Caenorhabditis elegans: one gene and its partner. The protein of the gene in region 1 purifies or fractionates together with the protein of each later gene. This does not show direct contact. Each region holds a gene or a part of one and is shown in the gene's direction. Other genes may lie near its edges.

Region 1 (6,509 bases):
TTTTAATTGAAAAAACTCAAAAAGTCACTGGAAGACGGCAAAAAAACGAATTTAAGAAATTTTTAAAAATTTTGAGAAAAAAAAACGCAAAAATATTCAATTTTTCACAATTTTAGCTAAATTTGACTGAAAATCTTTTAAAATTCAGATTTTAAATCAAATTTTAATTTAAATTTTTCAGAGAGACATTTGCCAAGGAGCTGGAGACAATGGGCTCGGCCTTAGAGGTCAAAGAAACGGCCTACAACGAGTTGAAGGCTTCAGCCGAGAAGAAAATCGCCAAGCTAACCTCTCAATTTGAAGAAAAACTGAAAAAGGCTCAAAATTCTCAGGATGAAGCTTCAGAGTCTCGATTTAAAACACTTGAAGCCTCGGCGGAGCAAGCGAAGCTAGAATCGGAGCAGAAGCTTAGAGCACTGGAAGAATTGCTGAAAAGCTCGGAGTCTGAAATTGAAGAGCTCAAGATTAAGGAAATTTCAGCAGAGAAGGACAGAAGCCACTGGGAAGTTGAAAAAGAAATGTTAGAAGGAGAAGCAAAAGAGCTCACGGACAGAATTGAAGGACTTGAAGCTGAAGTGAAGAAGCTAACGGCAGCGAATGAGACGAAAGCAGTGAAAGCAGATACAGATGCAAGGAAGGTTGTACGAGAACTTCAGAAAGAAGTCAAGCAGTTGTACAATGAGTTGAATGATAAAAATCAGCAATTTGATATGGTTCAAGAGGAGTTAACACGACTGAAAACTTCAAAAGAAACTGCTGAAAATGGGCAATTACAAGTACAGAAACAGATGGATGAAGAGGATAGAAGAAGCGAGTTTTCGGTAATAAATTGGGAGAAAATGGAGGAAATTTGGATGAAAATCGTCAAAAATGAACTAAAAACCGCTAGAAATTCGAATTTTTGGCTAAAAAAACTGGAAAAAAATGGCTGAAAATTGTTTTGAAAATTGGTAAAACAACTGAAAAAGAGCAATTTTCAGCTCAAAATTTTGAATTTTCCGTTAAAAATCGTGTGTAAAACCTCAAAAAATGTATTTTTCTAATGCTTCCAATTAAAAATAGCTAGAATTTTGGAAAATAGAGTCATCGAGTTTTGGCAGAAAAGCTGTCGATTTTCAGAAATTTCTGCCTGTTTAATGGAAATTTTCTCGTTTTTTTTAAACGAATATTCGAGCGTAAATTCAAGTTTCTCGGACATAAATTTCAGCAAAAATCGAGTTTATGCTTCGAATTTAACATTAAAAAATTTTTTTTTAAATATTTTTGTCATTTTTCCAACACTGACTGAAAATCTCAAAAAAAATCGAGAAATTTTCAATTTTCGAGCACTAAATCCCTAAAAAAGCCCCATTTTTTGCAGTTCAAAGAAGAAATTGCCTCGTTAAAACAAAAGCTTGACGCCTCACTAACCGAAGCAGATGATCTACGAATGCAAGTCTCACGGAACGAGAAGACGCCACGATCCAATGGAAATGCTTCAACTGGCAGAACGAAATCTATGGAATTACACGGAATTGCTGATCCGGCAGAAGCTGAATATCTACGAAATGTACTATATCGATACATGACTAATCGAGAATCTCTTGGAAAAGAATCTGTGGTAAGGGGAAATTGAATTTTTGAATTTTTGGGTGAAAAATCATGATTTTCATGCAATTTTACACTGAAATTTTTCCGAAAAATTGCCAATAATTGGGCGGAGCTTAATCTAGAAAAAAAGTAAAAAAAACCAATAAATGGGCGGAGCTACTTCTAAAATTTTTGAAAAATTGCCAATAAATGGGCGGAGAATTTAAAATTAATTTAATTTAAAAAGAAAATTTAAAATTTTCAAAAAATAAAATTAAGTCAATTTTTTTGAAATGTTTAGTTTAAGCTCCGCCCATTTCTTGGCTCATCTCGTAAAATTTGAACTAATTTTTCTAAATTTTTGCAGACATTGGCCCGTGTAATTGGAACTGTGGCCCGATTCGACGAGTCTCAAATGAAAAATGTGATAAGCAGTGAAGAATCAAGGCAGGCAAGCTGGGCGGCAGCTGTTGGTGGAACTGTTAGCCATGCGTTGAATCGATAATTCGAAACTCTAATTTTTGCTCAATTTTCTCTCATTTTTCATGTTTTTTTGTGTGTGAAACTGACTAATTTTCTCTCAGAATGTGATAGCCAAGAAATGGGCGGAGCTTACGATTTTTGTCGAAAATTTTTGGATTTTTTTTTCAATATTTTCTATGGAAAAAACCGAAAATTGAATTTTTTGAACCGATTTTTTGAAAAATTATTTTTAAAAAATTTTCTGCGATAATCGCAATATTAGTTTTTTCTTCAAAAAAAATTCAAAAAAACTAATTTTTAAATTTTCCACAAAAAAAAAAAATTTCTAAAAATTGGAATTTTTCGAATTGTCTATCAAAAAAAACGCTCGTAAATCGACACTGAGAGAAAATTAGCCAATTACAGGCAAAATTACGTCTTCTTTTAGATTAACCCCCGTAATTAGAGTTTTTTTTTCAATATTTTTCAAATTAACAAAATTCTTTTTTTTGGATATACCCCCTACCGGTTATTAGATTTTTGAAAACAATATCCCCCGATTTTTTTCTAATTTTTTTAAAAATAATTTTTTTTTTCGTAGAAATTCTGTTTCCTCTATATTGTTCTGCTTTATCCTCCCAACGACTGTGATTAATCGCCGAAAAATTTTTAGATTTTTATTTCAATTTTTTTTCGAACAATTTATTGTGTATATATACGAGAAATATATATGTAATAAAATTTTTTAATTTATTTCGAAAAAAAAAATTATTTTTATTTTTTCAAACTTGCGTTAGATTTTTACCAATTTTGATATTTTATCGGGTTAAAAAATTTTTTTTCAGATTTTTTGAAAAATAGTTGATATTTTTCGGGAAATTTCCAGATTAAAAAAAATCATATTTTTCAAAAAAAAAAAGATCAAATTTTTTGGAAAATTTCAGAATTTTTTAAAAACTTCCGGGTTTTTTGAAACATTTCCAGATATTCCAAAATTTTTAAAAAATCAAGTTTTTCGAAAAATTCCAGATTTTTTCAGAATGAACGTGCTGAAGCTCACCAATGGCCGAGAAATCTCCTACTTGAACGAAGTGGAAATTCGAATGGGAATTGATGAGCTTAATGGAGAAGAAAGATACAAAAAAGAGCTGGAAAATATGGAAACGTCCGATATTACAGTTCACAAATATGAGGGTGGATTTAAGGTGCTGATTGTGACGTGAATTTTAGAAAAAAAACGACATTTTTGACTGAAAATTGGAGTTTTTTTAATTAAAAAAAATTATTTGGGAAAGTGAAAAAAAAATGGAAATAACTTGAACAAACATAAGAAAATTTTAAAAAATCGAAAAAAAATCGATAAAATATTGTTTTAAAAAATTTGAAAAAATTAGATTTTTTCTGCATTTTAAATTTTTTGAGTCTCCTTTTTTCTGGAATTTTTAAAAATAATTTTGAGAATTTTTCAGAAATTTTTGTGAAATTATCCGATAAACTAGGTCCTATTTTTCGTGTTTTTCACTGATTCTAATTGAAATTTGAATTTTTTTTCCCAAAATTTTAAAAAATTCAAAATAAATATATATTTGGATTTTCTGCGAATTTTATATTTAGAAATTCAAATTTTCAGAAAAAATGTTTTTTTGAATTCTATTTGCGATTTTTTTTTAATTTGAAGCGTTCGAAATCTAGTGGCATAAAAATTTTGAGAATAGCGTTTTTTTTCAATTTTCTTTCAGAAAAAAATTTGAGAAAAAAATTGAAATTTTGAAATTAAATCCAATTTTGCAAAAAAAAAAAAAATTCTTCTAATATAAAAATTTAATGTTTTTTTTTAAATTTAATTTTTACTTAATAAATAAATTTGCAGATCTGGGAATGCACCGTCGATCTTTGCGACTATATCGAAGAAAATCAAACGCTTTTCGCCGGAAAATCAGTTCTAGAGCTCGGCTGTGGAGCAGCTCTTCCATCAATTCTCACGGCGGTACACGGAGCTAAGGAAGTTTTCGCTCAGGACTTTGTAAGTCTACGAGATGAGTTAAAACAAAAAATTAATCTAAAACATTGCAGAACGCGTCAGTCATCGAGTTCTTCACACTTCCAAACTTCGAAGAAAATCCGCATTCAGCAGTTGTTCAAGGAGAAGCAATGGGATGGGAAGAGGTTCCGAATCGATTGAGCGGAAGAAAGTAAGCAGCAAAAAGACATCAGCCCAATGCGGGGCTCGAACCCGCGACAACCAGATTAAGAGTCTGGTGCTCTACCGACTGAGCTAACCGGGCGGCGATGTAGACTCGTCTTGGTGGACGTTTTGTATAGCGCCCGGCTGGAGACGGGGGGGGGGGGGGGCCTAAGACGCAGAACTTTATGTTATATTCCATTTACCAGATTCGACTTCATTCTCTCATCGGAAACCATTTACAACGAAGATGACTATCAAGCTCTCCACGATGCGGTCGCTGCAACAATCAAGGATGACGGAGTCGCGTAAGATCGTTTGTGTCGATTTACGCAGCAGCTCGTGTATTCCTCGAGGAGAAGAGAGTTTTTTTTTTAAAGCTTGAGACCGTTTTTTTTCTGTACTTAACATGATATTTGGCAATTTTGCTAGACAAAAATCGCAGAAAATCGATTTTGATCACGAAAAGTGAACGTTTTTTGTTGGTTTTTGTATACAAACAACCTTTTTTGTCGAAAAATTTTTTTAAAAATTAGAAAAAATTTTTAAAATGTTGAATTAGCTTTAACGCTTCTTCCCCTTTTTTTAATATCAAAAAGTTCTGAGATTTTTTACCATAAACTTTTTTTCGCGGCGAGACCCATTCTTAAGAATTTCTTAGCGTTTTTAAGTATAATTTTCGATAAAAATAGTTTAAATAAAAATTTTTTTAAAAATCTATGTTTTCTGCCCAAAAAATTGTTTTTTTTAATATTCCGATTAAAATAAATTTCATTTTTCTTTGGTTAAAAAATCGTGTCGAAAAATATAAAAAATATTGAATTTCCTTGAAAATGAGTCTCTTTTCATTGAAAAAACCCACACAGAATACGAATTTTTGCCGAAAACTTCTCCTCGAGGACTACACGAGCTGCGTAAATCGACACATGGAAGAGATTCAAACTCTTCCATTTTCAAGCCCTTCAATTTCAGATGGTTCGCCGCGAAATTCTTCTACTTTGGCGTCGGCGGAAGTGTTCCAGCATTCTGCGAATTTATCAATCAACGCGGAATTCTTCAAGCTTCTGAGGCAAAAGTGATCGCCGCTTCAGTGCCCAGACGGATTGTGGAGATTCGGAAAAAATGATTTGAATTTTTTCGTCTTTTTGTTGTGTTTTTTATTTGTTAAGTTGTTCAAGAATTGTCCTTTTTCAATAAAAACTGTTTCATTTCAAGAAAAAAAATCAGTCGTAAAATGCACACCTACCCGCCATTAGTTTGTAAGTAGAGAGAATAATGAGAAAAATGGGAAAAATGGAACGTTTTGTACTGACAATTTAAGCAGCAACACGTGGTGTCAGAGTGTCTCATTTCGGCTTGATCTACGTCGATCTACAAAAAATGCGGGAGACGAGACGCAGAGTTCTGCACTGATGCTGTATGGTTAAGAACGTGATGGCGTCACTTTTTTTAGGCAGAAAAAAACTCCCGCATTTTTTGTAGATCAAACCGTAATGGGACATCCTGACACCACGTGCGCAAAAAGGGGCTAAAATGACTAGAACTCCTGATGACCGTATCGATCCACTGGCCACATACATTGACAAGAGATTGGAGCATCTGGAATTGTAAATGGATGCCAATGAATTGAACCAACACTACGACGAGACACGTGTACCTAAAAGAAATTAGGAATTGAGTGTGTGTGAAAAACACTATATTTTACGCGCAATTTTTGTGGAAATTTTTGGGGAACCCAGAAAAACACTAAAGTTTACAGAAAAATGTATTGGGAAAAAGGATTTTTCAAGTAGACAGTGCGTACTGCGCAACATATTTGACGCGCAAAATATCTCGTAGCGAAAACTACAGTAATTCTTTTAATTACTACTGTAGTGCTTGTGTCGGTTTACGGGCTTTCGAAATGAATTTTTTTCGAATACTGACATCGATATTCTATTTTCCCTCATTTTTTCGTATTAATTTCTATTTTTGCACAATTTTCATATTTTATCGATAAATAAAAAATTTGAACTCATTTCGAAAAACAAGCTCGTAAATCGTCACAAGCACTACCGTAGCCATTCAAAGGATTACTGTAGTTTTCGTTACGAGACATTTTGCGCGTCAAATATGTTGAGCAATACGCATTCTCTGAATTTAGTGTTCCCGTAATAAAACAATTTGCGGGCTTCTTGCATCATATTTTACGCGCAAAATTTTTTGAAATACATGGCCACGCTCTCCTCAAGTGTTCATAATTATTAGAGCGCGCTCGAGCGGCACCTCACGAACTCCAGAATTCGCGGGAATTCGT
Region 2 (5,275 bases), on another chromosome or scaffold:
AATAATGCTTGAGTGCCAATTCGACACTTCCATGGGTATTGAAGGTTCTTTCCCGGAGATCACGAGTCATATCTGAAAACTGTCAGTATGCAGATGGGGCATGGTCTGAAGAATACGGTGGGTGAAGGAAAATCATCCATTCATACCTGACCAGTTCCTGCAATACTTGTTTCGTGACGTAGGGATAAGCGTTGTTTTGTTGAAAGTAGAGTTGCTCGTCCTTCAGGGGTGAACGATTGAATATGTTCCTTAGGTTTTGTGGTTAGATAACTTAAAGGTCCCCATTAACTATTTTGCCCCCAGGAAGCAGTTCCCAGTTGATGGGGCCGTACACTCCCCACCACACTGAGAGCATGACGTTTTTGGGGTTAAGGTCGGGTTTGGCGGCACCCTGTGGGGTTTCTCCTTCTACAAACCACTGGGCACGCGTGTGGTTCTTATCATGGAGGACCCACTTCTCGGTTCCAGTGATGAGTCGGCCCAAACATCGATCGGCCCCATGGAGAGTGAGGGGTGAAATGGAATCATCCACTCAAAAATCATGGTTGGCTTGTGTCGAAGAGTGAGGTATGAATCGACCCATAATTTTCTTCATTCCAAGAGCTTCCCAGCCCCGTACGATGATGGTTTGATAGGATTGAAGTGCGGTTGACAGCTCACGGGAGGTTTGGAAAGGATCCGTTGCCATGGCTTTCTGCAACGTGTCCAAATCCAATTTATGGGGTCTCAGAGTCTTCGAGAGAAAAGTCGTCCTTTTCGAAGTGATGGAACCAAATGTATATAGTATTATAGTGGCGGACATGTCGATGATAAACATCCTTCAGGAGACTTTCCGAATCCTTCATCGTGGTATGAGAGAGAAAAAGGTGCATCGAACCATGTCGGATGTGGATGGCACTAGATAAATACATTGTCGGCTAACTGAACTCAGACCAAAGGGAAAGGAGTGGGGTGATTTTCAAAATGAAGTTCCTTTACTCGTTGTTATACCCTAGCAACAAGGGAACACCAAAGTGCAACTGCGGCTAGCGTTGGAAAAGCAAACCCAGTCACAAAGATTTCCGGTTCAACCTAATATTTTGCAGAAATTTATTTTGTAAGTTTATTCTGGTTCCTGAGAGTTAATACTGATAACTAATTTCAGTAAAACATGGAAGAAGATAGAATATCAACTAATTTTTATTGCGAGTTAGGCGTTTGCAGAACATATGTTGAAATTTTCTTTGTTTAGGTGCTATTTATTTTATAAGTACTATAATTACGTTAATATTATCAGAAATTGTTTCGAAGTTTCATTCTTTGTCGGTGTTTTTTCTAACACGTTCCTAGAAATGAGATCTTGGATTGCCGCAATTATTTCAATAGAAAGAATGATGGCCACAAAAAAGTGATTCGATTACTTTTTATCATTACCGATAAAGGCTCTCCAACATTCCAAAATTTGCATTTATTTTATTTAATGGTGTTCTGAGTAACGTTGTTATGTTTGGGTTTTGTGAATTGCGACTACCTCTAGAAACAGATTGCACAAGCTTTAATTGTGCCGCCATCCCTCCATGCAGTCAGGTATTATCAAAATTTTTTTAAACAATAAATAATAATTCTGCATTTGTATAATCAAAATTTGAGTTGTGAATGTAATTTATCATTGCACGTTTCACTGCTATTCCAGTAGTTTCAAGCAATCTCGAGAATTATTTTTTGCACAACTACAGTATGCTTCACTGCAATATTATGCTCCAGTCTGTGTTGGTTATCAATTAATAAAAGAACAGTTACTCTAGCCCTTCGTAAAGCCAACTTTATGTCACTGACTGATGGATTATCAACACTCTTGTTTGATTTGATTCCATCTTTAATTTTTAATTCTGGACCCATTGAAATTGAAGTAATTAAAAAATTAAAAAATTGTACAATATGCATATTTCTTCAGAACCGTGGTCCGGTAATGGGTGCAAATCGTCAAACTGGAAGATTGGTGGAAGCGATTGTAATGGTGAAGCTGATGAAAACGACGAAGTCCGTACAGACGACAATTTTCTCAAATATTATTCGAGTCAACGTGAATTGGTGAATGTGATACATGTACATATATTGTAAAAATATGAGAGAATTTAATGTTTCAGAAGATACAAAACGACGTTTTAAAACGCCGAAACTATATTTTATCGATTTGAAATAAAAATGGAACAAACCAATGTACTCACAAAAAGTTAGAATAATCATTTGAAATAAAAACAACAGATAGGTTTGAAGCAGTTGTAACTCATCTTTTTTTCCAAATTTTGGAAAACTGTGCAATCTTGTTTATACAAAGATGGCTTATTTTTCGAAGTACCGAATTTCCTCTACGGTAACGCTCCAGGAGCGATGACTTGCTAAATATCATGGATGCACTTTGAAATCAAGATCTTACCAAGCTACATAAATTAAAAGTAAAAATGGAGATAAACATTTTTCTTTTCTTCTTATTCATACCTTGGTAAACGACAATACTCACGAGAATAAAATAATTATCACCGTCTCGTCTCAAATAATCAGAACAACTCATTTCAAAGAGTCATACCAAGCAGGAAGATTTTGAATTGTTATTCACTCGAATACTTTCAAAAATGGAGAACTTATCAACGGCTTACTATGTTTTTCATTCGGTTGGCATTTTAATGATATTTTCCAATTTGGTGTTAAATTTGCATATTCTACGAAAATTTGTTAAGTGAGTCGATATATTTTTTTTGTTTGTATAAAAAATTAAAAATTTTTAGCGATTGGAAAACATGGAAAAAGATTGATTACCAATTATTTTTGGTTCGTATCATTTTAGAAGTCATAAATATGTTTGCAGGTTGACATAAAATGACAAAAACTATTTATGTATATTTGATGAATTTTCAGCTGTCAACTACTTTGTTTTGTCTACTGTAGATATCTTTTCTGATATAATTCCTTATGAATTTATCATTACACCGGGTATAATAGCTTACAATTTTTTTGAGGCTCGATCATTTCTTGCCGCCATCATTTCTGTAGAACGAACTCTCGCAACAACAACTCCAATATATTTTTATAATTATCGAAAAACCATCTCTAATTTTCCAATTTATATATTTTTAATTACAACTTCAATTGTATGCAACACAGTTCTTTTTAAAGTCTGTAATTTTCAATTCGAAAGAGTGGATGGATGTGCAAGTTTCTACTGTTCATTAACTACTTGTTTTCAATCATATGCTGTTATAACCCGGATAATCTATACATCTACCAATATTGTTTTCTCTACTATTTTAAGCATACAATTGATATTTCTTTCATGTAAAAGCACAAAAATATCCAGCGATCTTCAAAAAGCTAACCTTTTATCATTGACTGATGCTATATCAACATTCATTTTTGATCTTCTGCCATCTTTAATAATCAATGTTCGACACATTGAAATCAAGGTTCGAGATAGTTAATAATTTTAAAGTAAAATTTGATTCAGAGTCTTGGACCAATAATCGGGACACTTCGTTCAACAGGACGTTTAGTTGAATCAATGGTTGTGGTTAAACTGATGAGGAAAGATACATCGGTTAATCAAATGAGATAATAAGTTTTATGACGACATCGAACTTTCAACCAGTGCAAATTTTACTTTGAAAATTAATTCTTCTGTGGATGAAAAGTTTGAGAAAAAAAAATTCGTGTTGCGTTTTTCAGTCATATTTTAGTATCATCAATGTTTTCTGAAATTTGTAACTACCGTTTTGAATAAATTCTTAGAAAAAAAATAAAGCTTCAGTTTTATCTGCTACTGCGCACATTACATATGTTTAAACTTATTGGTCTATTTTGCTGGCTATTTTGAAAAAGCCACACAAATGCGAATACGCAAACACTTTGGTTTTCTATCCATTAATTCACAGCTCTGAAACTTAAACTGTCAGGAAATTCAATGTTTTCACGAAGAGCCAGTTCATCGTGCCCATGGTATGCGTATATTGTGCACTATAGTAATGTTGATGGTCTTTGGAAACAAATGCACGTGACTTTAACAACTCTCAATTCGAAAACGAATAACATACTGCGTAAATATCGTTGCTTTCGTAGAAGGCAATCCTCATAACATATCATCTTGTATTCCGTTTGATCAGAATCTAAGTGCTCATTTACGTCTCCTTCCTTTCTTTTGCTCTCACTCACTTAAAATGGTACTGCTTACCGTCGCTTATTCGATTATCTTCCTTATTGGAACTTCAATGGCATTTTTTAAAGCTTTTCTAAATTTTTATATTCTACAAAAGTTGATAATGTGATTATGTTTCTGAATTTTTCTATGATAGATAATATTTTTAAGTTCTCAAAAACGGGAAAGAAAATCGAATATCAATTGGTGCTCTTTCTTGTTGTGCTTGACGCGTTCAATGCACTTATTGGTTCATTAATCTAATGGAAAATTGAAATAATATTTTTCTTACAGCATTCATTTACTATTGTTTGTCTATAGTGGAATTTTTCGTCAATAAGCTTCCAAACGAAATTACTTTTATGTTTGGTTTAGTGTGTTTTAGTTTTATGGAAATGAGATGTTTTCTTTCCGCAATTATTGCAATTGAAAGAGTAATTGGAACAGCGACTCCTATAAAATTTCATAACTACCGTAACCGAGTCTCAAATATACCGATTTTTCTGTTTGTTTTTGCTACTGGCGTATCACTAAATGCAGTTCTCTTTGGTTACTGTGGATTTCGCCTGGAACCAAATCCTAATTGTGTGAACTTTTTCTGTTCTACTCCTCTCTGTTTTCAAGAATATTCTTCAATTACTCGAATATTTTATTCATCGATCAATATTTTATTTTCGACTATTCTTTGCATTAAACTATTTTTCATGTCTTCTAGTCAAACATCGGATCTTCGAAAATTGAACTTGATTTCCTTAACTGATTGTTTTTCGGTTTCATTGTTTGAACTAATCCCGTGGATTTTGTTTACATACGAAATTGTTAGCGATGAGGTGAGAAATTATTTTTTTGAAAACTGATATTTTAATTTACTATTTTCAGGGTCTTGGGCCAGTTGTTGGAGCTTTTCGTTACACGGGAAGAGTATTTGAATCAATTGTAATTGTGAAATTAATGAGAAAAGATTTGGTGAACCCGCGTGGATTAATGATTACAATAACATAATAATCACAAAAGGAAGAAAAATAAAATTGTTGAAATTTTTGTGATTTTTTTCACACCGCAAAAACTGAAAGGGAAATTCAGTTTACTGTAACTTTTCTCAGTAAAAAA

Evidence for each region. Proteins that work in one complex are often made in the same cells at the same time.
Region 2: the proteins of metl-18 (region 1) and srbc-45 fractionate together in Caenorhabditis elegans (co-fractionation; one large-scale study listed by BioGRID). This does not show direct contact.

The regions. Positions count from the first base shown.
Region 1 is NC_003281.10:3,422,670-3,429,178, forward strand, and holds metl-18 (protein-histidine N-methyltransferase), read left to right. Parts: upstream 1-3,068; 5' UTR 3,069-3,071; coding exon 3,072-3,236; intron 3,237-3,901; coding exon 3,902-4,054; intron 4,055-4,104; coding exon 4,105-4,223; intron 4,224-4,229; exon of another isoform or gene 4,230-4,323; intron 4,324-4,422; coding exon 4,423-4,521; intron 4,522-5,185; coding exon 5,186-5,339; 3' UTR 5,340-5,425; downstream 5,426-6,509. Other genes in the region: golg-4 (GRIP domain-containing protein), read left to right, coding at 182-821, 1,361-1,600, 1,937-2,074; K01A11.1 (Spaetzle domain-containing protein), read right to left, coding at 5,751-5,870.
Region 2 is NC_003283.11:12,800,962-12,806,236, forward strand, and holds srbc-45 (Serpentine Receptor, class BC (Class B-like)), read left to right. Parts: upstream 1-2,612; coding exon 2,613-2,716; intron 2,717-2,765; coding exon 2,766-2,845; intron 2,846-2,895; coding exon 2,896-3,440; intron 3,441-3,481; coding exon 3,482-3,589; downstream 3,590-5,275.